7 linked regions of the Callithrix jacchus genome follow. The protein of the gene in region 5 interacts with the protein of the main gene of each other region in a pairwise test. Links are inferred from orthologs where the notes say so. Each region holds a gene or a part of one and is shown on either strand. Other genes may lie near its edges.

Region 1 (4,022 bases), on a different chromosome or scaffold from region 5:
GCCACATGAACTTCTTGGCGCAGACACCGCACTCATAGGGCTTGAGACCTGTGTGCGTCTTCATGTGCTCAGTCAGATGGTGCTTCATCTTGAACTTTTTGTTGCACACGGGGCAGTCAAAGGGCCGCAGATTGAGGTGCATGTTCACGTGCCGGTCCCGCATGCTCTTGTGGGAGAAGGCCTTCCCACAATGGCACAGAAAGATCTTATTCCCATCCCCACTACCAGTCCCTCCAGGAACCCCACCAGCGCTACCAGGGACCCCCAGGCCTCCCACGGACGTGCCCCCCAGGGTCACTGCCCCGTGTTCTACTTGGTTCCCTGGTGGTTGGCCAGGAGCCTGTGAGGAGGATGAAGACGATGGGAAGACCAGGATCTGGTTGCCCTGCATGTCCAAGGGAAGGAGCGGTCGAGGAGCGTGGGAGGGGGCATAGGAAGAGGGAGTTGGCCCCCCTGAGTCATCAAGACCTGCTCCAGGACCCCCACCCTCATAGGGGCCAAAGTCATTGGAGGACTCACAGAAGTTGACCTGCTCCTCCCCCTTGTCTGGGGGCTCACTCAGGGTACGGACATCACTTATGCTGAGGGTAGCCTCAGGCCCTCCCCCAGCTGGAACCCTGGAGCTACCCCCTAGCTCTTCATCTTCATCATCCTCACAGGTCAACACCAGGTCTTCCTCCTCTTCTTCCTCCTCCAGATCTGGGTCTTGGGGAACCAGGGGTGCTGGTGCTGGGCAATTACCACCTCGCTTCACATATACCCAGTGTTTCTGTGGCATGATGCTAGGGGGTGTGTAGGTGGGTCTCCTGAGCCCAGTCCCAGGGACCACTGCCCCCCTTCCATCCCCACCGTCATCGCACAGTTCATCTGCCTCCAGCAGCAGCTTCCCAGAGGTGGCGCCCCCACTGCCAACGACAGGGGCTGGGAATACAGGGCCACCTCCTCGACGCTCCCCACTGCCCACTGCAGAAGCTGCAAATGCCTCTTGGGAGGAAGATGAGAAATCAGTGGACTCCCTGGGGCTGAAGTAGTTGCTGCTGCTGGGAGACTGATTCTCACTGGCTCGGCTGGAGGCATGGGAGCGCACAGAGCCCATGGTAGAAGGGACCACAGTGCCCCCACTCCCGGATGGGACCCCAGCACCAGGGACAGTGACAGAGGTGGCTGCAGCAGTAGTGACGGTGGTGGTAGCTGAAGCCCGGCCTTCTCGGAGTAGTTCAGTGCACTTGTCCACAATGTGCCACATTTGGAGCACAGACCCCACCGTGAGGAAGTTGACAATGTCAGCAGCAGCCATGCTAAGGCGGCCAGTGTAAGCGGAAGCTAGGACAGTCTCGAAGGCGCCTGGGTCCATGACACTGGGCAGCGAGATGGAGGTCATGCCCTTGAGTAGGACCTGATCATGGAAGTAAGGGGAGGAGGCAGCCAGCACAGCCCGATGAGCCCGGAACTCCCGGCCCTGTACTCGGATAGACACATCACAGAGCTGGCCCTGAAGACGCTGCTGATTGAGGGACTCCAGGAGGGCACTGGTCACCTCAGGGAAGGACACATGTACCACTGCAGCTGCTGGCAGGGGTAGTGGGGGTGGAGCCAGCGACAGCGGCAGGGGGAGTGCTGCCCCACTGGGAGACAGAGGAGATGGCTCCATGTTGTGGAGGGAGGGGATACCCCCCCAGCCACAGGTACAAAGGAAGGAGGAGGGCGGCCGGGGGGGTCTCTGGGAAGAAAGAGAGAAAATAATAATGATAAATCTCATAATGACACAGCCAGTTTACACTCATTATCTGCGTAATTCCCCACAACCGTGTGGTATTACTCTCAACCCCATTTAACAGAGGAGGAAACTAAGGCTCAGAAAGATTAAGAGATTATTCAAGGTCACACAGTCAGTAAGTGGCGGCGCTAGCAAACACAAGTATCTGACAAATCCTGAGCCCTTTCCTTGGAGATTATAGAGAAAGAAGGCGCTCTTAGGGGCTGGTGTGCCTTCTTCGGAATTATACCCTATTTCCCATTTACCTGAGCGCCTGACATTCCAAAATCTACCTTTTTGGCGTTTGTACCCATTTTTTGGGAGGGGGCAGGGCAGCTCCTCTACTGAAAACCAACCCTCTGTTCAATCTCCCCCTCAGGCTATGCCCCCCAGCTCTCTCGCCGACCACGCCCCCTTTCGCCCCAGCTCCTACCTAGCCCCGCCCCTTTCCAGGCTCGCCCCGTGCCCCGCCCACTTTCGGGCCTTTCGACCCCGCCCCTTGTCTAACCTCCGCCCACACCGGACCCCGCCCCCCCCCCCCGCTCCGCCCCAGGCGCTACCTCGGCCTCTTCTCCCACCCGGAAGGCGCCCCCCAACCTCGCGCGTCCCCGCTTACCGGGCCGCGCGCCCCCGGGCCCCCCCCGCCCCTCACTCGGCGGCCAGAGCTGCAGCCTGAGCCCCTCCCGCCGCCATCTTGCGCCGACTCCCTCCGCCCTCCGCCTCCGCTCCGCCTCCCGCCCCTCCGACTTTAAAGGCACAGCCGGGCACCCCGCCCGCGCCGCTGGGCAATACTCGGCCGACTCGGCCACTTTGCCTTTAAAGAACCGTCGCCTCATTCCACCTTAAAGGATCAGGTCCCCTCCTCCGCTGGGAACTCAGGACTTGGTTCGGCCGAAGCATTTATTCCCCTTTAAAGCTACAAGCCTGCCTTTTCCCATTGGCGACGGGTCCAGGCACCGTTCCCCAGGCTCCGCCTCTGAGCTGTGACCATTAGCTGGTTGGTGAGATCTAATCGCCTCCTTCCTAGCTCCTGACATTTCCCCTGAAGCCCCGCCCCCCGTCTCCGGGCCTGGATTGGCCGAATAACCTTGAGTCGGTCTCTCATTGGCTTTTTCACTCCAACTGCAAGAACTGAAAAAGTAAAGTGCGTTAAGGCGGCTGAAGCACTTTAAAAAAAAAAAGTACAGCCTGAAAAACATGGCGAAACCCCGTATCTACAAAAACTACAAACGACAAAAATTAGCAAAGTGTGGTGGCGCGTGCCTGTAGTCCCAGCTACTGGGGAGGCTGAGGCATTATCACTTGAGACCGGGAAGTCCAGGCTGCAGTGAGCTGTGATCACACCACTGCACTCTGGCCTGGGTGATAAGATGAGACACAAAAAAAGAAAGAAAAAAAAAGACCAGGTTAGAAAGGACAGATCAGGACTACCCCGGGAACATCGGGCAAACCATGAGCAAGGAAAGGGACAGCTAATGCCAATCCATGACCACAGAAGGAAAAGACAGTGATACAATAAGAAAAGAAGTTTATTGTTTATTAATGTTTCTGTGTAAAACTTAAGTTTTTTTTTTTTAAAAGAAACACCAACAGGGGATTAGCTCAGTCCATCCTTTGCTCAGTCATCTGCTTCCCACCATCCTCCAAATGCTATCCCAAAACATTTTGGAGGCAGGGAGAAGGGGAGGCAGCTAATCAGAGTCTGAAAGCACGATGATCTCCTCTGGATCACACTGTGTGGCCACACTCGTCTGCAGGGAAGTGAGAGACAGAGTCAGAGAGATATGGAGTACAGGGGAAAAGAAACAGACAGGAGGATTTAGAGGATAAAACGTAGGTGGGAAAAAGCGAGACAGAGAATGTGGAGGGTGAAATATTCAGACAGAGCAGCTGAAACAGACAATGAAAGAGAACAAATTATCAGAGGAAACCCAGCCTCCCCTTCTTACCTTGTAAGTACCAGGCTGGGGAGGTTGTGACTGGGGGGTTTGGGACAGCCGGGCTGGAGAAGGGACGCAGAGGGAGCTGGTCACAAGGCCATGGCTGGGAGAGTCTACCCTTGTGGAGGAATCAGCAACCGGGGCCAAGGAAGCCAAGGGGGAAGGTGGGCTGGGCAGGGTACATATCTTTTTCCCATTCTTCTCATGCACTGACCTTCGCCTTTCCACATAGCTAGGAACAGAAACATAAATATGTGGAGGGGTACAGGAAGACTGAGGCTGGAGGGAAACAGTCCAGTCTCTCCCAACAGACTCAGTTCCCCCAT
Region 2 (4,124 bases), on a different chromosome or scaffold from region 5:
CTGCATTCTCATTACAAGGTAGAGCTGAGTAGTTTAGACACACTTAAAATATAATCTGGATCTTTACAAAAAATGTTTGCCAACCCCTGCTCTAATGCCTCCACTAGCTCTGCATCTCACCTCACGCACAAATACCCTAGTCTACTAACTGCTTTCCCACTCTTTCCCCTGCCTCTAATCCTTCAGACACCTGGTTGCTATATAATCTCTCTACAAGAGTGTCGACCCTGTCACTTGCCCCGTCAATATCCACAGTGGCTCCTCCAAAACCGACAGTGAAAGGTTCAAACAGTCAAGACAAGAGACAAGGGCAAGAGAGAACACGTCAAAAGAGTTGAGTGCATGAGGCTTCAGGGGTCACTTTCACACTGGAATTTTTAAGATGTGACAGGTTAAAAAGACTTCCCAAGTACATAAAACAAAAGCTGAAAATAAGCATGAATGATAAATAGACCACCTCAACCTGTCCCCTTCCCTATGGCCGCAGAAATTATGATTCAAGGAATAATGAGACCCTTCGTCTAAATCCTTTAAAATTCCAAAAGAGCAGCGAGCCAGCGTGAGCAGCACGTAGACTGCCGATGTAAGAGGAGCCCGGTGCGGGCTCTGCGCTTTCTCTCCGTTCCTGAAAAACTCCAGCTCGTCGCCAAAACTTCTCGCCGTTTCCTGGTCTGCGCGCCCACGCTGCCGGTTTCCCGATAAGAGCGACGGCGCACTGGGGAAAAGCAGATGCCCCTCATCGGTTTGCGCCTTGCAGTTCAACTGTGCCCGAGCCTCCCACAAACCACCTGCCCGCGCCCTTCGCTAGGCGTCCAGCCAACGCGCACGTGAAGCTCCCGGGCGGGGCCCGCGCAAGAAAGCAAGAGTTTGCAGAGGCAAACTCAGCCCTGGGAAGGAAAGCGATTCTGGGGCGCACGCGCAGAGACAGGAGACTGGGCGGGGCGTACGTCCCGCAGGGGTTACAGAGAAGAGAGCGCGTGGCGCTCCAGAGCTTGCGCACGCGTTGTGGTCTCGCCCCGCCCATGAGCGTGCGCGCGCTGCCGTCGTAGCATCTTTTCTTCAGACCCGCCCCCTTCTTCTACTTCACCTAGGGGAGGCTAGGAGCGAGAGCAGGGAAGTGTGGGGCGGGTAGGCGGGGCGTCGCACAGGAGCGCGGCCTGCGACCGAAGGGAGGGGGCGGGAGAGATCCGAGACAACGTTACCCCGTCAACACCCAATCGGGATCCTGCCTGACCCCGCCCCCCTCTCCTCATGTTATTGGCTGAGAGGCTCCATGGTGGGCGGGGCCGGCCGTGGGGTTGGGGAGGGCAGGGGGCGGGGAGGAGGAGGAAGGCGCTGGCGGGCAGTGATGGCGGCGGGTGATGGGGACTTGAAGCTAGGCACCCTGGGGAGTGGCAGCGAGAGCAGCAGCGACGGCAGCAGCGAGAGCCCGGGCGGCGCGGGAGCGGCAGCGGAAGGGGGCGGCTGGGCGGCGGCGGCGTTGGCTCTTCTGACGGGGGGCGGGGAGATGCTGCTGAACGTGGCGCTGGTGGCGCTGGTGCTGCTGGGGGCCTACCGGCTGTGGGTGCGCTGGGGGCGGCGGGGTCTGGGGGCGGGGGCCGGGGCGGGCGAGGAGAGCCCCGCCGCCTCTCTGCCTCGCATGAAGAAGCGGGACTTCAGCTTGGAGCAGCTGCGCCAATACGATGGGTCCCGCAACCCGCGCATCCTGCTCGCGGTCAATGGGAAAGTCTTCGACGTGACCAAAGGCAGCAAGTTCTACGGCCCGGGTGAGGAGTTGGAAGGGGAGGGGAAGGACCCCCTGCAGCTCAAGCACGACCCCCTTCGGACGGGGAGGCCTCTGGGCACCGGGTTAGTTTGCCCAGCCTTCTCGTCGCCTGAACCCCCGCGCCTCGGCTGCCGCACCTGGGACGGCCCGGGCCGCCCCTACACACACACACACCTCCCCCGAGTTGCGTACACCTCCAGCTCTTGCCGCGAAACCAGGGGTCCCTGGTGGCGCCCCAGCGACCAGCTTTCATCTTTTTTCCATCCCATTTCTCCTCGCAGTCTTTTTTGTTGTTGTTGTTGTTTTTCTGGCTGGATTTTTTTAAATCCCTTTAGTTGTCACCAGTCAATGCTGTCCCTAAACCTTTCCTGAGTCTCCTGATTTCTGGGATGGGTGGGGCAGCAGGGAAGGGAGATTTCTGAAGTTGGGACCTAAACTAAAGTTTTAGGCTCTGTAATTCACAGCTTTTTTTCCTTTCTCTCTCTCTCTTTTTTTTTTTTTTTTTTTTTTTTTTTTTGCCACTGATCTCCTTTTTCCCTCTCTCTGTTACTCTCCGTAAGGCCACGTTTAGGGTCATGTAAAATCCCAACCCTCCAGTCTCTGAAGTCCGGGCGTATAAGCAACACCTCGGACTCTTTAAACCAGTTTTAGTTCGGAGATGCTTTCCATGATTAAAGAGGTATGTCAGATGAGGACAGACCAGAATGCAGACCTTATTATAAGACTGGTAAGGATATTCGCCCTGAGGTTTGGGGGTGGAGCTCTTATACCCAGAAGGCATGTCTCTGGTTTCTTTTTTTTCCTCTTTTCAAGTACACGTTGATAATGACTTGTGTTTTCACTTAGCAGAACTGGGAAGAAAAAGCTTAGAAGACCTATAGATTCATACCCACCATGTACTATGCAAGTTAAAGATTTTTAGAACTTTGTTTTCAGAGAACTGTGTGTAGGGTAGTTGATTTAGAAGGCCTTCTTTTACAGTGTGGTTGTAGCATACATTTTGGGTTATGCTAATAAACTCCAGACTCATGGAACCTGTTAGTATATCATGCAATTGAGCAACATACTAAGCAACATACAATAAGAATAAATAATTAAATTAGAGACCTAAAGTGACCTGTTATTGGAGAGAGTACATGCAAGCCTTAAAATCATAGGGTTGGCAGTCTGGAAATAAGCTGGTTTTCTCCTTCATTTAATCTGTGAGTTTATGAGATTTATTGACACATACGAATATGTACTTCTGGTTTCAGTGCTTCGTAGCTGGAAGATAGTTTAGAAGTGCTTTGGTTTGTAGTTTGTTCATTGGAATAGGGATAAGAAATAGGAGATTTTTGGTGTGAATTATGTAATTTATTTCATAGTTGTCTGTTTGTGTATATATATGTACATATACACACACACACATTCAATCCAACCAAGTAAATACATAGCTTACACAGTTTTTGCTTCTGATTATATAAATGTGAACACAAGATGCCTAGCTATTTATAGCAGCTGAAATGGTTAATACATTTTTGTTTACTTAAGCACACGTGGGACAAGAGACTAGGGCCAAAGTACAATATTTAAACAAGCCAAATTAAGTAAATTCTTTTTTAAATCAAGGATTTACACACCATTTTATACCTAGTGCAAGCTTCTTTCCCATTGGAAAATGAGTGTTGAGTGATTAGAAATCCTGTACAGGTTTAAATTTTTAATATAGACTTGAACCAGCTAAAAGATCAGCTTTTGTACCCTCTGTCTGAACTGCCACTGAAGAAAACAAAGCATATTAGTACAAAGAATCTTATTAGTCCTCACACATTATGCCTTGGCAGTATCTGAAAATAGCTAGGAGAGACAGTCATAGAAACAGTTTGGCAGTCTCCAGTGGCAAATGTTTGTTCTGTGATAGAAATTAAAAATTAAAGCCGGGCACAGTGGCTTATGCCTGTAATCCCAGCACTTTAGGAGGCCGAGGCAGGCGGATCACCAGAGGTCAGGAGTTCGAAACCAGCCTGGCCAACATGGGGAAACCCTGTCTCTACTGAAAATACAAAAGAATTAGCCAGGCCTGGTGGTGGGTGCCTGTAATCCCAGCTACTCAGAAGGCAAAGACAGGGAGAATTGCTTGAACCTGGGAGATGAGGGTTGCAGTGAGCCATGATTGCGCCATTGCACTCCAGCTTGGGCAACAGAGTGAGACGCCGTATCAAAAAAAAAAAAAAAATGTTTAAGAGTCATAGGTAGTAGATTGCTTTTGTATATGCATTGAGGGAGGCTCCTGAGATTACCATGGAGAAGTCAGTTTTAGATTAGTTTCTGCCAGTTACTGTTCTGATTAACAGCCTGAAAGTGATATCCAGTTATTCTA
Region 3 (3,500 bases), on a different chromosome or scaffold from region 5:
CACATTAAATGAGTCTCTTGCCATTCATTTAAAAATTTTATAGCGAATGCTTATGATGTAAGGAGCTGAATACAAAACTATGAACAATCTCCTATCTCTTATGAAATATACATTGTTGGGGGGAGAAGGCAGACATTATGAAAATATATACACAAATGAGTATATAGTTACATATTGTGGTAAGCTCCTTGAAGGAAAATTATATGCCATGTAACGACATATTTGTCATGTAAAATTAAACGCCTCTTGTATTATCTCATTCTTTCTATTTCTACCATCATCACAGTTGTACTGACAATTACTTGGTCCCATAGGGATGAGTCAGAGCTGCTGCCTAACCAGTTTCTTTGTTCAAAGCTCACTCCTCTCATTTGTCATCAGATATTTTTCCTCCTTTATCAGTTTGTTTTCTAGCGCAATTATGCAACCATAGATGCCACTAAAATTCATCAGGAAACAAAAACAAAAATAAAACCCAGACCCGAAGGCTCACACCTGTAATCCCAGCACTTGGGGAGGCCAAGGCAGGAGGATTGTTTGAGCTCAGGAGTTTGAGACCAGCCTGGGCAATGCAGCAAGATCACATCTCAAAAAAGCTTTTTAAAAAGAGAGAAAACACAAAACAAAAATGAAGACATTTTATTGATTTTAAAATCCTGATCTATAAAATTTTCTTTGTATACGGACAGGTTCCCATATAATAATAATGCACAGAATACAGGCAGTCCTCTATTGACCACAGTTCAACTTACAATTTTTCAGCTTTAAGATGGTGTGAAAGTGACAGCATTCACGAAGTTTCTTGATTTATGGTAGGATTGTATCCCAATAAACTAATTGTAAATTGAAAATATGGTACGTTGAAATCGTATTTTGAGTTTTAAAGGTAAATTACATGGAAAAACTCAAGAGACTTTTTCTCTACATTTAAACATGAGTTCATCTACTAATGTGCAGAATTTTCTATTACAAAAATTTAAAAAATCCATATAAGGCCTCTTCTACAGATGGCTTTCATATAAGCTCACAAATCTAGGGTAGAACTTACTACCTCGTGCTGTATAAAAAACTGCCCCAAAACTCAGTGGATAGGAACAGTTATTATTTCTAATGATTTTGTGGCTTGTATGGGCTCAGCTGGGAGATTTTTCTACTGCTTTTGCTGGAGTCTTGCAGTCAGATGGCAGCTGGGCCAGAGTCATCTGGAGGCTCACCTCGGATGCTGGGGCAGCTGGATCTTTCTCCCACTCCGTACAGCCTCAGAGGGCTTGCATGCAGTTTTTTCAGCAAGGTGGCTGGGCTTTTTACACAGTGACTCAGAACTCCCAGGAGCACAAAAGGAGAAGCTGCCAGTGTTGTAGGACTTTCTCCTATATCACTGTTGTAGTTCAGCTAAAAGCTGGGTTCTCGTCATATGATCATGAAATACTAGGCTCGCAGACACTTTGGAGGGTAAGAAGGACAGGGTTTATTGGATGAAAAGGAAGAAAAAGGGAAACAGGAACTCTCAGCACAGTGCGAGTTCTGCTAGTAGGCTCCTTGCCCCTCACCCCCACACAGATGAGTCCTGGGTTCTCACCCCGGAAGAGGAGAGGCCAGGCTCTTCCCCGCTGCAAAGGGCGCGAACTTCCCACAGCTCTTGCCGGTTCTCCCGAGTATGCAGGTCAGCTGGAGGTTCTCCCGAGACCCCTTTACACTTGTGTGTCTCACCAGGAGGGCCATGTTGTGACTTTTATGGTCCCCAGGCACTTGTGCCTTTGTGGAACCTTTCATTTTATTAATGAAAGATTAAAAATAATATTTTATGGTTCAATTGGTGCAAAGATGAATATATTAATATTCTTTGAGAAGAGTCCTCTTTTTTATTCTATGCCTAAAAGAAGGCAATACATTACTATGGGTTACAAACACGAAGCAATATTGTGTTAAAGGACAAGTTGGCCTTGGCTGCCAGACCTTTTGTTGCATCCTATCAGTTAAATCAATGAACAGGCCAGGCCTCTGTGAAGGAACTACACACAGCGCACCTACCAGGAAGTAGGTTCACTGAGAGCCATCTTTGGAGATTAGCTATCACTTTTGATTAGAACACAGTTTCAAGAAAAGATACATCAACCTGTTTCCTTTAACTCATGACTGTGGAAATGGTAAGAGGAGAGCATATTTTCTGATGTAATTGAGAAGATGGATTTACCAGCTGTCCCCACTGGGCGATGAACTGAACTTATATTGGACAACAATAGTCTTTGTTCCCTAGAAATTTCACTAATGTCTGTTTTGTGCAGTTGTTTTGTTTCATTTAATTTTTTATATTTATTTATTTATTTTCAGGAAAGTCAGAAAAACCTCAGTAACCTGGGTGTTGGTCAGTCTGTGCATATCAATGTTGATTTTCAACCTCCTCTTTGTGTTTGGAATTGAAAACTCAAATAAGAACTTGAAGACAAGCGGTGACATCGAAAATATGGACTTTAATGATAATGTCATACCCCAGACAGACACCGTTAACACCCCGAATCCCACCTGCACTGCGATTGCTGCCTTACTGCACTATTTCCTGTTAGTGACATTTACCTGGAATGCACTCAGCGCTGCACAGCTCTATTTCCTTCTAATAAGGACCATGAAGCCTCTTCCTCGGCATTTCATTCTTTTTATCTCATTAATTGGATGGGGTAAGTGTTTGTATCTCCCCTTTCTCAGGAATTTAATTTTGCGGAAATCATTTAATTTAAACCAACACTTATAGAAGGTCTAATAGTCCAGGGCCTTGACGTAATTAAGAGGAGGTAGAAAAAAAAATGCAGTGATTGCTGAGAATACTTTCCATCTAGTAGCTTATACTCCAGTGAAGGAGGCAGATGGGATCAAGGCAAGAATACGAGATACAGCATAAACTGATGTAACTAACATGAAATTGTTAATTTCCTTATCTCTTTTTATTAATTTGATTTAAGATTTAGGCCACAAATGATTAACTTCCAGCTACTTTAAAGGAAATGTTTCCAGAAAGACAATCAGAGTGATCCTTTAAGCACAAATATGTGAAAAATTTGTTGCGTTCCAGCAAAGGAAGACTTGCTTTAGGTATATCTAAATTTAAATTTATTCAAGTGACAGGGAAACTATGCCACTAAAAGTGAAAATAGTGGTAAGAGTTACAAAGAAACCGGAAATAGGATTGATCTGTAGAGCCATCACTAAAAGGGAAAGGAAAACACTTGGAGGAAAATTATGTCCACTGTCGACCTACATATGTAGGATCACTGTGTTATGTCCGTAGTGAAAACAACATATATCCTGAAGAAGGTCTGATGTATAATTCATGTATGGTCTTTCATAATTAATCCACGTCTGGATAAAGTATTAATTCCATGCCTCTCTTTATCACATAGGAGTCCCGGCTGTAGTAGTGGCTATAACAGTGGGAGTTGTTTATTCTCAGAATGAAAAGAATCCACAATGGGAATTAGAATACCGGCAAGAGGAAATGTGAGTTT
Region 4 (4,124 bases), on a different chromosome or scaffold from region 5:
CACATTCTGAGAGGATTACCTGACCCTGCAATTCAAACCCAGTCTGCCACAGGTGGGTGTCTGGGATGACCTTTCAAATAGTACTGTATTTTGTAAGAACTTTCAGTACTGAGAATAAAGCATAATATCATGTTCTCAGTAAGATGCACTGTCACCATCTTTCTCCAAGTCAACAAGAGGCCAGAGGTAATGCCTTTAAAACTAACTCACCCAAATCTCTTCTATACTGGAAGAAGACCTATCTGCTCATTTCACAGCCAGTTGCCAGTCTATTGGCTCTCTCTGTATATGAAAGCATAAATTAATGAGGAGAAAAATGAGGAAGGAAAATACCAAGGAGAAGCAATAAAAAGGAATAAAATATTATGTTTCTGATGGCAGGATTCCTAGATGCTTTGGTAATTTCTGTTTCATGCTTTTTCCCTCCAGGATTCCATACAGAATTTGGGGATCATTTGCTATTCCCAAGTTATTATTGCTATATCAATCCACTCTGTCAACCTAATAGTTGAATTAACTCAAATCATGATTTGCCAGCATAATAAACTCAAAATTACATTAGCTGGGAAAGATTCAATGGCAATGAATTAATGAACTATCTGTTCTTGGAGAAAATCATTTACATGTTCTGTTCCTCAGTTTACTTAGCACACATAATTTCTAGAGTCCCTTGTACCTTGATTAGTTTATGATTCTATGAAATTCTTATAGAACAAATGAGAAATATATTTTCTTTTCACAAAGCAGGCCTTTAATTATAACTTTGTCATCATAACTGCAGAGTGAGACTTGGTTTTTAATCTTTAATGTGAATCATTGTATTTAATTACTTAAAGTAAATGTTTTTAAAAATAAATTCTTCCATTTATCTTCTCACATTTTTCCTTCTGTTGTTAGCCTTCCTCTCAATAGATGGTGCTCTTTTCTCAGAGACAATACTTATCTTATTCCTCATGAAAAGATCAGAGAAATTAGTTTTATTCTTTAAAAATCATTAATTAAAGAAATCAGACACATGAGTGGAAAGAATTGCTTACAAGCAATTTGCAGCATCTTGGTAATAAAAGCATACCAGGGAGAGCAATTGTTAAATGATTTAAGAGCTCCTCTCAAACCTGCAATACTTGCTGAATAGGTGAAACAAATATTGTAACTAAAAGTGAAAATGCCATGTTCTCTACATACACATACCCCTGGTTAAAAACAAAAAACAAAAAACATCTATCTAGGAACCATTTTAAAGTGTTAAAATATTATTCTTCTTTAACAAAAACAGATACATGCCATTTCACATTCACATGTAGTATTTGAATATACAGGTAAACACCAACACAATCAGCATCAATCACAATCAATATTGAGAGCTTGCACACTCTGCCAAATATAGGTGGAACATCTAGGTAAACAGAAAGTGGACCACAATTCTTTTGAATTAATTTTACCTGATAAGAACACTTTGTTTACAGCACCATCACAACTTCCTGTATGAGAGTTTCTGTAGTTTCTAATGTGGAATTATGGTGCTTTTGGTGACTCCTAATTAACTCCAACTTGTGGAGGCATTGAAATACAGCCATGCCCTGCGGTTCTCCTGAACCATCCTACCCATTCCAGATGCAGTTTGTGACTTAGGCGATCTGAAGCTACCAACAGCAAACTAATCTAAGCAACACAGCTGTCATGTTTGTTATAAAAGAGCAAAACTACCATGGAGAGATGCCAGGAAAACTTCCTTTATCTAGTGTTGCCTCAGGATGAAAGGAAGAGTTAGTTAAGGGCTGCTACAGCAGGGGAGGAGGAAGGGTGGGGTTGTGGTACAGGGAAGTACTGAACCAGCAGAAGTAGGAAAGTTGCCAGGGTTCATCTCAAAACAACTGAGAAGACTTGCAACCTACCACCCACTCCAACCCGCCCCTCAACCAAATTTGGGAAAGCTAACTAGAATTTCTAGAATTTCTCTGTCATTTTTCACAACTTACTCTTTCCATAGCTCCTGCAGAGGGACTGAGTGTAGGACTCTGACAAGAGCCCTCTTTGCTCAGAATAAGGAAGAGCTCTAAGTCTACACTTATCTTCACCCCCACCCCTAGACCTTTGTAGCTTTTACCAAAGCAACTTCTCTGCTTCTGAAATTTTGGAGTATTTCTGTAGCAATTGGGGAAATACAGAAGTAGCAATCACTGTCCATGGTCGCCTCTAGAGTTTCCCCGGTTTACCTCCCCTCTTTCATCCTCCCGCCCAAGATTGAGCCCTGGGGGTCAGGTGTCTCTTTGTACCCCCATGAGCCTCTGAATCCTCCACTTGGAGCCCCTTCCTTACCTGACAATCACATACATGACCAGGAAGTTTCCGAAGAGCCCCACCACGCACACGATGGAGTAGAGGGCCATGATGGTGATGGCCGTGATCATGGAGGGGCTGCCAGTCGGAGGGCAAGGGCTGTCGCTCCCTCCCAGGTCGGTGCGGTTCGGACCGCAGGGGTCGGACAGGTTGCCATCTAAGTGGGACAAGTTGACCCAGGAACCAGGGCTGGGCGCTGGGGAGCAAGTTGAGGGCGCCAAGGGATCAGTGCAATTGCCGGCATTCGCGGGGACTGCGCTGCTGTCCATGGTGCTGACGGTCGGCCGGGCACTGCGGTGCGAGGTAGCCAGGAGCACTAGGACTTTTCGGGTTCCAAGCGCCTCAGCTGCTTCCTTTCGCCGCTGCCACAGCTCTTGCTATTTCTTACAGAGGCCAGTCCTGGCGGAGCCAGAGAGGAGCGTCAGGCGGAGGGGACCGAGCTGAGCATCTGACATTCTCCTCTGCCTATAGCCCCCTCCCACCTTAGTAGTTCACGGAGGCTCATCCCCGACCCCAGGCGGCTGCGGGAGGGGAGGGTGGGCCAAGAGGGATTTGGAGGCTGGAGGGGAGGGAGGAGAGAAAAGGGGTGGATTTTGCGCAAAGCGATCCAAGGAATCGGTCTCCTCACTGGACACTCTTCCGTGCAAACACATCTAAGGGAGGGAGAGAGAGAGAAGGACTGGGGAGAGAGACAGAGTTAGTTTTTGGCAGCAGTGAAAATAAGAAAGGGGGCTAACATCACTCTATTTTCCAGCTCTTTTTTCTCCTTATAATCTGGCAGGGAATACATTGGCTTGATGAAACCCTAACAACCCTGAAACCCCAATGCTCTTTCATCCCTACTGACAATTTTGACTATTTGAGAGTAGGGGACACACAATCTTCTTTTGCAGTCCTTGTTGCTAACATCTAAGAAACGGTAATAATGTTTTTCCAATTTTCTTCCCAACCAACCTGCTGGAAACAACAGCGATCCTCTATTTTCTGAAAAAGAAATGAGAAACAAATAAACTTTTGCGGAGAAAACCTGTTCCCCGCTTTCCCCAGTTTCTCTTAGGGTGAAGTTCTGTTTGCCTCTGATTTTGTCTTAGTGGAGAAGAGGAACAAGAACTGGTTACGGAAATCAGAAGTTTGTGGCATCCAGTAAAATCAGCTAAAGATAATGTTGATCTTTCACATCTTAAATCTCATAGACCTGTTTGGAATTATTTATCCTTGTTAACCCCAGACTTTCTCGATAAGCATATGCTTCTGAGAAGAAGGTTGTTAACACCAAACAAAATTTGCATTCAGTCTGTTTGCTAGTGTAGAAAGTCTAGGAAGAGCCACATAGCATATGGAATTAGAGTGGCCTACAATAAAATCCTTGAGAAGCATGGATACGTTTTTGAATTTTATACCTTACTTTAGAAGTGAGGTATCAAAAAAGAACTTACTCTTTGTATTTACAAATTTGTTTATAAATTAGAAGTCCACCAGTGCTTCTATTTTATAAAGAAATTTGTAAATTCAAAGAGTAAGTTCTTTTTTTGTAAAGTTAACACCAATTCTGAAGTAATTCTCATTTCTGTATGTGTCTATATTTGTGCATGTGTCTATCTTTTAACCATATACATTGAAAATACATATTCCCAGTTGGTCTTGAAAAGCGAACTGCACTCTTGGGAAGCATGGAGGGAAGACCTTGAAAGGAATATTTAATTCCACTATTATTTTTAGGCATTTAGCTTAGAAACAGGTAACTCATAGGTAAACTCGATTAATCATAGGCTATTTTGCTAATG
Region 5 (4,020 bases):
ATACGAAGGTTTCCATCAAAGCAAACAATTTGCCTTTGACTAAAACAATATTAAAAAGGAATCAAACACCAAATGTCACCTCCCAATCCTCCCCATTATCTGTATCTTTAAAGTGAAACACACAATGAACTATTGGGCATTTAAGTACCAGGCATTTTCTCACAACAGTTTGTTTACTCAACCACTCTCTGGGCTTAAACCTTCCCTGAAATGAAAAACAAGCCTTTTCGTTAAAGGCTTCCTAAGGGAGGGATGGATGGGGCACGTAGAGAAAGGGCTTCTTTCCTCAGACAGGATTGTGTCTCTCTTACACCATTTGTACATTTTCTCTTTTTCCCTTACTAGTCTTATCATTTGTACTGGCAACACAAGAACAATGTGTTCCATAATCATAGCTATAATTCTCCAATACCCCCAAAGAAGGAAATATATGAGTAAGTCACTGTGTAGGGTTTTTGGTTGTTTTTTTTTAAACCTGCTTCTCCACTATTACTAGTCTCTTACTAAAGCAACGTAACAACTTCCCCAAGGAGAAACCTTCAAACTCTGTGGACATTTCATGGCCTAAAACTGGTTGTCAAGGCTTGTAAGCACCTAACGGCAATTTACACAGTTATCCAGTAGAGGAAACGTTCACTGTAAACACAGCCAGTCAAAAGATAAAAACGAAATACACACACACACACACACACACACACACATCATAGAGGTTTACATTCAATTATCTCAAGATTATGGCTGAGTTAGGACATTTCACGATTCCTCAAAGGTTTTCCCCCAGCTAAAACTATGTAAAATCACACAACATACATTAACTTGCAATAAAATACATTCACTGCACCTTGTCTTAAAACCAAATCCTTACCCAACAAGTAGCTCACTCACTTTTCTATTCAATAGGCCGGGCGTGGTGGCTCACGCCTGTAATCCAAGCACTTTGGAGGCCAAGGCGGGCGGATCACCTGAGGTCGGGAGTTCAAGACCAGCCTAACCAACATGGTGAAACCCCGTCTTTATTTAAAAAAAAAAAAAAAGAAAGAAAGAAAAGAAATTTGTAAATGCACTAAAAAACTTGCAATGCAGTTATCCAATATTAATCTCGTAATTTCAGAATATATTTTAAATTCCTAAAACTAAAGTTTTTCCTGTGGAAAACAATGTAGTTGGGATTTCTCGTTACACAACAATAAAGGATTTCACTGTTTCTTTTAGCACTAGAATTGCTATACACCTCACAAAAATTGTTCTCATTCAACAAACTGAACTACAAGACACTGACTTCCAAAAGGGGACTCACTTTACACTTAACTAAAGATAGGAAGGAACCTTTCTATTAGATGTTCACACTCTTTCAGTATTCCTTAAGTACAAGAAAAAAACAAAAACCTGTCCAGTTTCTAACTCTCTTTCCTAAAGTACACCTTATATTGACAAGCAAACGGATCAAACAGCCCCTGGGATTGTTCCAGTATCACCAAGTCAGACTGAAAACTTATCACCGGCAGTGCTACAAAATAAACCTACAAAGTTCCAGAGCTGGCTGACCTTAGCCTTCTCAGGGTCTGTAGGAAACCGCAAACGTAAAGGCAAAAGTCACACGTACTGAAGGCTTCTCAGCAGAGGAGCTCAACTGAAGGGCTAAATAAGAGCAAGCACGCGGGTGGCACACTGAAATGTCGTAGAAGGCAGGAAGCCCCGCTACTATGAACCTACAACTCTGCTTTCGCGGCTGACGCATCGCTCCTGCCCGCACGCGCTTGGGGCCGTGCCAAGAGCACCGGGCAGCCCTCGCCAGGCACCTCCCGGGCTCCTCCGCCTCCCCAGCGCGCCCTACACCTGACAGCCGAGTTCTAAACAGGGAGGAAAGGTGAGGAGAGACGCCCTCCGCGGAGCCCTAGTCCGGCTGCACCCAACTCTCCCCGGGCCGGGGCCAGAGTCGGGAGACGGCTCTCACTCCCGAGGGGTCCCGCGCCACTGACAGCGGGAACCGGAGACGGACGCAGCTTGCGCCACCTCCAGAGCCCACTCCCCGCCGCAGCCCCTACCGCACGCCCGCGGGTGCCCACCCACCCACGCCCCGCTGAAGCACGCCGTCGGCCTCAGGAGCCAAGGACTTGGGCCCCGGCCGACGGCGGCGCGGGCGGGACCGAACACCCGGGTGGCGCCCCCGCGGGACCGCAAGATGGCGGCGGCGGCGCCAGGGCCCGGCTCCCCTCCGCCTCGCCTGGGCCGGCGCGCGCACTGCAGCGCGGGCGGGCGAAAGGGAAAGAAGCCAGCCTGAGAGCCGGGCAGGCAGGCAGAGGCCGCGGCGAGGCAGCAGCCGGGAAAGGGCAGGCGCCCGGGCGTGGGGGAGGGGGCGCTCCCTCGGGCCGCGGCCGCCGACGTGCTCTCCGCGCCCCCCGCCGCCGACAGCCGTCCGCGTGCCCCATCCCGCCCGGGGGTGTCCCCATCCTGCCTACCTTTGAATTTGAGGTCTGTGGGCGGGTCGAGGACCAAGATCTGCTCATGCTTCGCCATGGCCCCGGAGGCGGACGCCATCGGAGAGACAGCGCAGAGCGGGGGCGCGCCCGCGGCGACGGTTTGCTGGCTGGGGGCGGGGAACGACGGTGGTGCCCGCTCGGCCAACCTCTAGGACGGAGCCAGGCTCGCCGCTTCCGAGCCCTGACGCCTGCCGCTGTGTCGCGGGTACGGTGGGCCACCCGCTGGGTCAGCAGCTCCGGATCTCACAACTGACTCAACCCCACACCAGCCGCCACGGCCACGCGCACTGCGATCTTCGGCGCCCCACGTGATGGTCTCTGCGTTGCCTACGTGCGCGCCCCGGCGACCGAGAGCCCCTCGCGCTCGTCCCGCCCTCCAGGCCTACCTAACGCGGCGCCGGGCTACTGCGCCTGCGCGCTGAGGGCTCGCCGCGGCTCCAAGCGCAGCCCAGCTGTCAAGGGAACGGGTGTGGAAAGAGGCGGGGCAAAGGCCCGCGGGACCGACGCGATGCGCAGCCGCAGGCTTGAGGCGCAGTCCTCTGTCACGTTGAGCTACGAGTACGAAACTAGAGAACCTGCTCTGGCAGCGCATCACGGTCTTCCAAGTGGGAATGCCTAGGGAGGAGTAGTGGGGAAGCGCCCACTCACTACAACTCCCAGCATGCCCCTTGTGGGGCGGGGCCTTCGCCGAGGGCCTGGTACTTCGCGGTGCTTGCTGGGAAGTGTAGTAGTGGCTGTTTGTGGGCGGGAAGGTGAGCGAGGTCCTTTTGAGGCGAATGGGGTGGGGTTCGCGGACGCTAATTTTGGCTCAGAGCACGTCTAGTTTGCGCTAAAAAGGAAAAAACTTTTGAAGGCGGAAACGAGTTCCCAATGTTAGAAATATACTGATAAAATCTGCCCTGTGGAGAACAGGCGGGGATGTGTCCGTTTGCTCTGTAATTCTATCCATCCCTCTGTTGGCAAGACTGCATTCCCTGTAATGATCCCATCCAGCCTCTCCTGCTTCCTGAGTTCTCTCCAGTGATGCAAAATCAGATAAGGAAGCACACCCCGTCTAGGAAGCAAACGAGTCGCAGGGGAAATATGACAAAGCACACAAAAGCTAGAAACAAAAGTCAAAATCTACACCATCGAGCCTACGAATCTTCAGTTTTGATTAATGATGGACCCAAACCAACACAGTTGTCACGTTCACATGTTACAAAAGAAATCCATCTGCATCACTTATGATAGGCTGTAGTAAACTGAACCAAATGAGAAAAATCCCAGCAGCAAAGTTGCTGACAAATCTTTAGCCGATTGCCAAGGTAATCCGGTACAGGAACGTCAAATGAAGCGAATGTGCTGTAAATAAACCTTTATTGTATTGTATGATACTGTCTGAATTTAAATATCTAGGAAGCGCCACAAAATAAAAGACATATTGATTGATGCTACTGCCGTAAAGCAGCACAGTTTGTCTAGAAAATAAATGAGACAAAACAGCAGTCAAGACGCAGGCACCAAGTTTTCATGTGCAATCCAGGTATCAGAGTCCACC
Region 6 (4,029 bases), on a different chromosome or scaffold from region 5:
GTTGTTAATTGAGAAGCCACATATGAACTCACTTCCTCCCTCTAGAGAAGAGTGGTCCCAGGGAACACAAGAAGGGCAGATAGGGAAAGAGAAAGATGTCCATTTGCACAGAAAAGAGAGGGAAAAAGGCAGGAACATACTTTGGAAGATTACTGGGGGAAAGGTAGTGCTCCGTGTCACAAGCGTGGGAGGTATGGTTCATGGCTGGTTAGGCTAAGAAGTCAAAGAGGTAGATCCTGGTCAGGCTCAAGCTCAAGCAATGCCTGTTGGCTCCAGTGACTAGCATTGGTTCCAGTGACTAGCATTGGTTCCAGTGACTGCGATTGGTCCAGTCACCTCTCACCAGCATGCTGCCCCCCTGTGATTGGTCCAGTCATCTCTCACCAGCCTGTTGGCCCCCTATGATTGGTCCACTCACCTCTAACTAGCCTGTTGGTCCCTTGTGATTGGTCCAATCGCCTCTTGCCAGCCTGTTGCCCCCTGTGATTGGTCCACTAACGTCTCCCCAGCCTGTCACCCCCTGTGATTGGTCCAGTCACCTCTCACCAGCCTGTCTCTTCCTTGTGTGGACTCTGTTCACTGCCCAGCCCTCTTCTCTGACTTTAAAAGTCAGATGGTTCCAGAGATGGGTGAACAGGACTGTAACAGCACGTCCCCATGTGTGGTCCCTGTAGAAGCTACCTCGCCCTGCCCTGCCCTGCCCCACCCAGGGGAGTAGGCTGGAGGCTGTGCCTGTTTATGGGTGTGCTTCGCAGTGGTCAAGGGACATGGGCATCCCAGCTATGCAATACCCTGCCAGCACATGCTCACACCTGTCACCCTCAAGCACTGGGACTTGGTGTTTCTACAACAGCTGGGTACTTACGAGTCTTCTGGGCACCCAGTTGGGGTAAGCAAGGGAGGGGATCTCTGGAGCAAGCAGGAGGGAAGGAAGAGGGAGCAGAGACATGGGAGGATGGGGTCTGGGCTCTCTGACCCACAAACAGACTGCAAGATCTTTGGGGACTCAGCCTTAGTGTCCTTGAAGGACAGGTTTCAAGGAACATCCAGTCTGATAAAAGACGGAATAATCCTGAAAGCCAGGTGGGACATCACACTGACATCACCCTGCTCCACTGCCACCATGGATGGGTGTCCCTCAGCCTGGGAAGGGATCTTATGTTGTTGAGAGTCAGTCCCATATTTTATAGAGGAAGAAGCTGAGGCTGAGTTGAGCTTTGTCCTCCCTGGAGAGTCATTTGGAGCGTGGTAGGCAATGGTGATGATTCCTGGCCGCCTGGTCTCCATGTAGCCCTCTTTCCTCTAAAGAAGTGCTGTATTTGCTAAGAATCCAGAGGCCTCTGCATTTGCAGAATAGAGGTTAGCCACACAAATACCAGGTACTCCTGAAAAAGAGCTTACCTTCGACATGTGGTTTGGTCACATGGTAGGAAATTGAGGAATATGCTTAAATGACAGGATGAGGAAAATGCTTTGACATGGTCTTTTAAAATGCTGATAGGGTCTGAGCTAAGAGAGGAGGCACAGAGGACTGAAGTCCTGACAAAAGTGGGGGTGGAGGCTGGGCACGGCGGCTCATGCCTAATCCCAGCACTGTGGGAGGCCGAGGTGGGCGGATTGCTTGCAGTCAGGAGTTCAAGACCAGCCTGGCCAACATGGCAAAACCCCGTCTCTACTAAAAATACAAAAGTTAGATGGGTATGGTGGCGCATGCCTGCAATCCCAGCTACTGGGGAAGCTGAGGCAGGAGACTAGCTTGATCCCAGGAGGCAGAAGTTGCAGTGAGCCGAGATTGCACCATCGTACTCCAGCACAGGGAACAGAGTGCAACTCTGTCTCAAGAAAAGGTAGGGGGCAGGCGGCTCACCCACAGCCATGTCCTGCTTCATAGACATTCAACCTGTGCAGCTGCCCTAGGCCCAGGGCCCTCAAGGGTCCATGCTTGGTTTCATGCCTCGCTGTCACTGCCTTGAAATCCTCGGTAATTTGGAGCAGGGAACCCTGCACTTTCATTCAGCACAGGACCCTGCAAATTCACCTGTCCAGTCTACTCTCCTGCCTTAAGTCCAGGAACGAACCTGCCAGCCTGATAGGTTCCACGAGTCTGAGCACACAGAGCCACTCAGCCTGTCTTGGCAGGGAGGGAGTGATCAGGTGGGGCCCAGAAGCCCCCGGGCTGGTAGAGCCACAGTCCCTTTCTTGAGCCTGCTCAGATGTCTGCTCTGGACAAAAAGCCCCAAGGTCCAGCCAGACAGAAATAGCTGGGACAAACGCCCTCGTCTTACAACCCAGCTCCGGCCACCAGCACAGCACATGCGAGTCGGATCTTCTTCCCTGGGCAGAAAGGGCTGGGCGGCTGCCCTGTTCTAGGCAGAGAAACCTGCCTTGCTTCGTGTGGGTAACTTTGTTGGGGAAAGATGGGAAAGGGCAGGAAGTGGGGATTGGGAGGGATGCTGGGTACATTACCCCCGGGCAGGGTGATGGGCCCGCACATCTTGCTGTCGTCCATGGGGATGCGCTTGGTACAGATCCGCCAGAGGCCGAAGTGGGCCGCCTCGCAGGTGGTGTTGTGGTGCTCCAGGTGGGGGCTCAGCACAGCCCAGTGGTCGGTTACCACGGCTGTTGTGGCCAGCACGATGCCCGCCAGGATGCAGAAGAGGGTCACACGGACCTTCAGCGTTTTGGTCTGGGACATGGTGGTCGCCGAGGCGTGGGTGCCCTGGGCAGGGTCCGGCGGCTGTGTCTCCTAGGGCAGGTGACAGCCGAGCTGGGGGGTGGCAGTGGCTGTCAAGCTGGGAGTGGCCACTAAGTTTAGTGTGGCCTGGCTGAGCCAGAGTGGGCTGGGCTTGGGGCTGAGGGACGCTGGACATGCTGAGCAGCTGTCCAGACGAATCAGGGGCCTGAGGGAGGCTGCTATTAATGACCGTCTCCAGGCGTGGCACCGAGGACAGCTTCTGCTCAGGTTTCAGGGGTTTCTTCCTTTGGGAGCCAGAAGTACCCTGGTAGGGGGGCAAGGAGAGAAGGCTCTGGGTGGTGGATTGAGGCCTCTGTGGAGTAGCAGCTCAAGGTGTCTGAGTTGGGAGGGGGTGGGCAGCAGGGGCTGGGGGTGGGGACCTGCCTGCTCTGGGCTGCTGGGAAAGGGCATCCCAGGGCAGGGGAGGAGACCAGAGCTGCAGGCTGCCTGGCTCTCCCGGGCTCCCACAGGGCAAGTCTGTCACCAGCAGGGCAGTGAGTAGGTCCTCATCCTGGGATCTGGGGAGACTAGGACTGTTTAGGGACATCCCAGGGAACCCGTCCAGGGCCTCTGGAGTCCACCTCTTGGGGAGTGTTTTAGCCACAAAATCCATGGCCTCCCCCAAACCGTGGGAAGATTATTGGTGTTTCCCAGGCCTGGCCTTTCCCGACTCTGACCCCTTCATGAGAACATCACTTCCTTCTCAATTCTCTTTCCATACCCGGAACTGGGTCCAGAGCAAAGCTGCATTTGGGGTCAGTGTCTGTACTGCCCACAGAGTGTCCTCCGAAACCAAGAGAGAATGGCCTGAAGAGGACAAGGAATCTCGTTGGACTTGGTCGTTCTGTTTTCAGGGTACTGTGTTTGGTTTTGCCTCTATTAACAGCAGGTGATAATGATTTTTATTTAATTTGAACACACTTATTTAATTTGCAAAATAAGGGTGTGAGTAAAAAAGAACAAATAGGTTGATTTACGGGGGATAATTAGGAGGCTCGTGAGTGCTTAGATATGGCAGAGAACACAGAAAGCCTGGAACTGAGCGCCCTCCCAGGGTCCTGTGTGCCTGGCTGCCCTGCAGGGATCCCCAAGGCTCTGGCCCCTACATCCCTCCAGGTTGTGCCAGGTTGTGCCATCTCTTCTTTCTCAGCTTACCGGGTAGCCCTTTTTGGGTCTAGCCGAGAGGCTGATGCATGACCAGGAATAGCTTCCTAAGCTGGGTGGGGCCTTGAGCTTCAAAATCCTGGCCTCAGATTGACACGGTTTACAGAGACTCTCCCCATGTGGACAGAAAC
Region 7 (3,992 bases), on a different chromosome or scaffold from region 5:
TTAGGGAAAAGTGCTGTTTGAACAGGGATCAGGAGAGAAGAAGGGAGCTACGCAGAGTTCTGAGGGGAAGGCATTCCATGAGGATAGCAAGAGGCAGGCCCTGGGAAGAAATAAGAATTTCTTATCTTTCTGAAAAGCTAAAGAACATCTCAAAGAAAGCGCTCACAATGTTTGGGATGTTAGGGACCTGCTGCTGATGTTTGCCTGTGTGTAGGCTCAGTGCTGTACATTTACCTCTGCTGCTTACATATTTTAGAATGAATTTTATGTAGGAGTCTAAGTCTACTACAAAGGTACTGCCTTATCTAAATGTCTCTAAAAATACCTCCTGCCTATCACAAAGGCATAGAATCTCGTTCACAAGAGTCAAAGTTGTTCATTCCACAAGGAGAGATAAGGCTGGACCAAAAGCATCCCTGGGTTTAAGTCCACACTCCCCACCCCACCCCAACCCCCACTCCCAAGCAGTGACAGATTGTCTTGAACAGGTGGCTGGGAGGATCCTAAAGGGCCAGAGAACAGAGCGGCAGAAGACATCTTCTGCGTTCTCAACTTTTAGCCCCAGCTGTTAGAGAACTGGCGTCTCCTCTACACATCCAGCTCTGGTGGAGACAGAAATGACAGCCCCTGTTTACAACGAGGAGACTGTGGCTCAGAGAAGTCAGGGGGCCACCCAGGACCCTGGAGAAAGCCGGCTCTGACTCGTAACTCTTGCTCCATTACCTGAGCCACGTCAGAGTCGTGTTCCACTTCAGGAAATGAGCTTGTTGATTTTTCATTTAAGCAAAAATGAAAATAAATACCAGATGTTTGAAACATTGCCACATGTCCTGCTGGAACTTTGAAGTGCATTCTGCACCTAAACAAATAAATAAATAAATAAATTAGAAAATCCACACAGCAAAAAAGAAATATTTTGAATGAAAACACACTTTGTCTCTCTCTCACACATACTCTCTCTCTTTCTCGAACACACACACACACGAAAACAATATCTCATTTCTTCTCCAGGGAGCAGCTGTGAAAGAAATTGGGGGAGGAGGATGGACACAACATCCCATCTTTGTGTTTGTTTTATACAGACTAAGCTTTTAGGCCAGCCCTCCTGGCTGTAGGGGGTGTGGCACCCATGAAAAGTAAACATCAAAGACCCAATGAAGCTTATAAAATAGCTTGGGAGAGGCCAGTCATCAAGACAGTCATCTCAAATTGGATGATTTTGCATGTGGATACTGCCTTCATCTTGACAGAAAAGGTACGTACTGTGGTTTTAACCGTTTCAATTATGATAATGCCTAAAATAGAAACTTCCATAGGCCCTTTTCAGCTGCATATAATTGCCACTGATTGAGAGCTTGTGTTGGTAGCTTTAGACTTGTTCTCATTTTTCCTCCAACCAATGTCCAAGGCAGGTATCATTAGAGCCATTTTTCAGATGATAAAACTGAGGTTCAGATACACTAAGTAACAGGCCTATGATAAAAACGTGGGTACGGTGGCTCACGCCTGTAATCCCAGTACTTTGGGAGGCTGAGGCGGGCAGATCACAAAGTCAGGAGATCAAGACCATCCTGGCTAACGTGGTGAAACCCCGTCTCTACTAAAAATACAAAGCAAACCTTGTTGGACAGCAAGGAATTTTTCCATGCACAAACACTGTGCTAAGTGAATTCTCAGTGAGTTGTCCAACTGTGCATCACAGTAGAATAATCTGGAAACTGGAATTAATTGTGTGACTAGAAAATGCATTTAACAATATGGCATACGATACTGCGTTTGGGAGATACGTTTCTTGTTCTGTTTAATGGCTAAATGAGTCTTTGAGACCTAATTACTTATTGGAACATATTTTATTTTATGAGGTGAAATTTCAAAATCTAGTCCTTCATGTTCTGCAGACCTTTGAGATCAGGGGCTCTGTCCACATGGGCACTGAGAACATGGGCTCTTGGGGGACCTAGACTTACGCTCCGGCTTGGAAGTTTATCAGGAAGTAACCAGGACAAATTGATCTCATTGGTACAAAGAGTGTCAGCAGAGGTCACTTGCGTAAGGTTAGCCGAGAGAAAGGAGAGTAGACCCGATATCAGGCCAGCAAGTTTTATAACCCTGCCAGGCTGTTACGTAACAATCAGAAGAGGCAGCCCCAAGCCCACAAAACAAGGGGTTTGTATGGGGTGAGAGGGGCATAAGGGAGTTTCAGGACCAAGGTAATTTATCAGCTTGTAACAAACGCAAAGATAGTTTTTTAGCTTGTGACACACTTATAATACACCGTCCTGTGATTTTTGTGGCAGCAATTTTTTAAAAAAACAGGATTTTACAGGTATGTGTAAAACAGGAATTTAAACAAAGGTTTGTTTTCCACGACCTCCTCCACTCACTCCGCGCTGCCCAAGTGGCTGTAATCAGGCTTTGCTCAATCTCAATCGTAGTATGTCTGGCAGCCTTGCTGTGGCACCAGATAGGAATGCAGCTGCTGAGCAATCAGAGTGGGAGGTCAGCTGTGTGGAGGGGGTTTTCAGGGGCAGCTTGTCCCTACCAGCTTCCAGAGGAGGTGCTGTGGAGACTGAGTGCATAGCACACTTAAAGTCCTGAGGCCAGGACCTCAGGTGATCCACCCAGTACATGCAGAGCAGTGATTTACAGTTAGTGCCAGGCCCAAGGTGGATGCACTGTAACCTTAGTAGGATTGCTTTGAAATTACCTCATATTCAGTTAATAATTATATATATTTATTTTGTTTTATTTTTGAGACGGAGTCTTGCTCTGTCACCCAGGCTAGAATACAGCGGCACGATCTCAGCTCACTGCAACCTCTGCCTCCCAAGTTCAAACCATTCTCGTCCCTCAGCCTCCTGAGAGGCTGGGATTACAGGCCCACACCACCACGCTGGGCTGATTTTTGTATTTTTTGTTTGTTTGTTTTTGATTTGTTTTTTGAGACAGAGTTTTGCTCTGTTGCCCAGGCTAGAGTGCAATGGTGTGATCTCGGCTCACTGTGACCTCCGCCTCCGGGGTTCAAGTGATTCTCCTGTTTCAGCCTCCTGAGTAGCTGGGATTACAGGCGTCCACCACCATGCCCAGATAATTTTTTGTATTTTTAGTAGAGATTGGGTTTCGCCATGTTGGCCGGGCTAGTCTCGAACTCTTGACCTCAGGTGATCCACCCAGCTCGGCCTCCCAAAGTGCTAGGATTACAGATATGAGCCATTGTTCCAGGCATAATTTTTGTATTTTTAATAGAGACAGGGTTTTACCATGTTGGCCCAGCTGGTCTCAAACTCCTGACCTCAAGTGATCCACCCGTCTTGGCTTCCCAAAGTGCTGGGATTACAGGCGTAAGTTGTGCCCGGCCAAAAATAATATTTAGCCTGGCGTGGTGGCTTATGCCTGTAATCCCAGCACTTTGGGAGGCTGAGGCAGGTGGATCACGAGGTCAGGAAATGGAAACCATCCTGGCTAGCATGACGAAACCCTGTCTCTACTAAAAATACAAAAAAATAGCTGGGTATGGTGGCACATGACTGTAGTCCCAGCTACTCGGGAGGCTGAGACAGGAGAATCCCTTGAACCCGGGAGGTGGAGGTTGCAGTGAGCTGAGATCACGCCACTGCACTCCAGCCTGGGCAACAGAGCGAGACTCCTTCTCAAACATAGTAATAATAATAATATTTAAATACGCTTGTTTTGTAAAGTATTTAAACTCCTAATTAGAGCAATCTCCCTATTGATAGCAGAATAAGATGCAAAAATATATATCATATAGAATCCATATGTTCCCCAAAGTCTTAAGTGCACATTAATAACATGCTCAATAAGTAATGAGTAAGTTAAAATGAGAGGGCATTGAAAAATGTAATGGATGCCGTCCACCCTTCTCTCACAAGGAGTTTTAACCACAGGAATAAAACTACTGCAACGAAGAGGCTTCTTTGGAAGACAGGCAATCAAGGGGGTTTGTTCTGAAATCCTCCTACAGAGGTAAAGAA

Evidence for each region.
Region 1: the proteins of VAPA (region 5) and ZBTB22 interact in binary tests that used the Homo sapiens proteins (3 or more experiments, as listed by UniProt). The two-hybrid records come from large-scale screens. The link is inferred for Callithrix jacchus from reciprocal best matches to the Homo sapiens genes VAPA and ZBTB22.
Region 2: the proteins of VAPA (region 5) and PGRMC2 interact in binary tests that used the Homo sapiens proteins (3 or more experiments, as listed by UniProt). The link is inferred for Callithrix jacchus from reciprocal best matches to the Homo sapiens genes VAPA and PGRMC2.
Region 3: the proteins of VAPA (region 5) and ADGRG7 interact in binary tests that used the Homo sapiens proteins (3 or more experiments, as listed by UniProt). The two-hybrid records come from large-scale screens. The link is inferred for Callithrix jacchus from reciprocal best matches to the Homo sapiens genes VAPA and ADGRG7.
Region 4: the proteins of VAPA (region 5) and OPRM1 interact in binary tests that used the Homo sapiens proteins (3 or more experiments, as listed by UniProt). The link is inferred for Callithrix jacchus from reciprocal best matches to the Homo sapiens genes VAPA and OPRM1.
Region 6: the proteins of VAPA (region 5) and CACNG1 interact in binary tests that used the Homo sapiens proteins (3 or more experiments, as listed by UniProt). The two-hybrid records come from large-scale screens. The link is inferred for Callithrix jacchus from reciprocal best matches to the Homo sapiens genes VAPA and CACNG1.
Region 7: the proteins of VAPA (region 5) and APOD interact in binary tests that used the Homo sapiens proteins (3 or more experiments, as listed by UniProt). The two-hybrid records come from large-scale screens. The link is inferred for Callithrix jacchus from reciprocal best matches to the Homo sapiens genes VAPA and APOD.

Annotation. Positions count from the first base shown.
Region 1 is NC_133505.1:41,558,128-41,562,149, forward strand, and holds the start of ZBTB22 (zinc finger and BTB domain-containing protein 22), read right to left. Parts: upstream 2,801-4,022; 5' UTR 2,598-2,800; intron 2,468-2,597; exon of another isoform or gene 2,373-2,467; intron 1,721-2,372; 5' UTR 1,652-1,720; coding exon 1-1,651. Other genes in the region: DAXX (death domain-associated protein 6), read right to left, coding at 3,448-3,507, 3,706-3,928. UniProt on the Homo sapiens protein: May be involved in transcriptional regulation.
Region 2 is NC_133504.1:69,042,121-69,046,244, forward strand, and holds the start of PGRMC2 (membrane-associated progesterone receptor component 2), read left to right. Parts: upstream 1-1,324; 5' UTR 1,325-1,348; coding exon 1,349-1,766; intron 1,767-4,124. UniProt on the Homo sapiens protein: Required for the maintenance of uterine histoarchitecture and normal female reproductive lifespan. May serve as a universal non-classical progesterone receptor in the uterus.
Region 3 is NC_133516.1:91,826,522-91,830,021, forward strand, and holds part of ADGRG7 (adhesion G-protein coupled receptor G7), read left to right. Parts: intron 1-2,331; coding exon 2,332-2,675; intron 2,676-3,395; coding exon 3,396-3,492; intron 3,493-3,500. UniProt on the Homo sapiens protein: Orphan receptor.
Region 4 is NC_133505.1:160,798,259-160,802,382, reverse strand, and holds the start of OPRM1 (mu-type opioid receptor), read right to left. Parts: upstream 2,801-4,124; 5' UTR 2,610-2,800; coding exon 2,320-2,609; intron 1-2,319. UniProt on the Homo sapiens protein: Receptor for endogenous opioids such as beta-endorphin and endomorphin. Receptor for natural and synthetic opioids including morphine, heroin, DAMGO, fentanyl, etorphine, buprenorphin and methadone.
Region 5 is NC_133514.1:53,009,310-53,013,329, forward strand, and holds the start of VAPA (vesicle-associated membrane protein-associated protein A), read right to left. Parts: upstream 2,801-4,020; 5' UTR 2,539-2,800; coding exon 2,460-2,538; intron 1,868-2,459; exon of another isoform or gene 1,596-1,867; intron 1-1,595. UniProt on the Homo sapiens protein: Endoplasmic reticulum (ER)-anchored protein that mediates the formation of contact sites between the ER and endosomes via interaction with FFAT motif-containing proteins such as STARD3 or WDR44.
Region 6 is NC_133506.1:122,263,121-122,267,149, forward strand, and holds the start of CACNG1 (voltage-dependent calcium channel gamma-1 subunit), read right to left. Parts: upstream 2,801-4,029; 5' UTR 2,696-2,800; coding exon 2,467-2,695; intron 1-2,466. UniProt on the Homo sapiens protein: Regulatory subunit of the voltage-gated calcium channel that gives rise to L-type calcium currents in skeletal muscle. Regulates channel inactivation kinetics.
Region 7 is NC_133516.1:24,485,241-24,489,232, reverse strand, and holds the start of APOD (apolipoprotein D), read left to right. Parts: upstream 1-1,192; 5' UTR 1,193-1,213; coding exon 1,214-1,267; intron 1,268-3,992. UniProt on the Homo sapiens protein: APOD occurs in the macromolecular complex with lecithin-cholesterol acyltransferase. It is probably involved in the transport and binding of bilin. Appears to be able to transport a variety of ligands in a number of different contexts.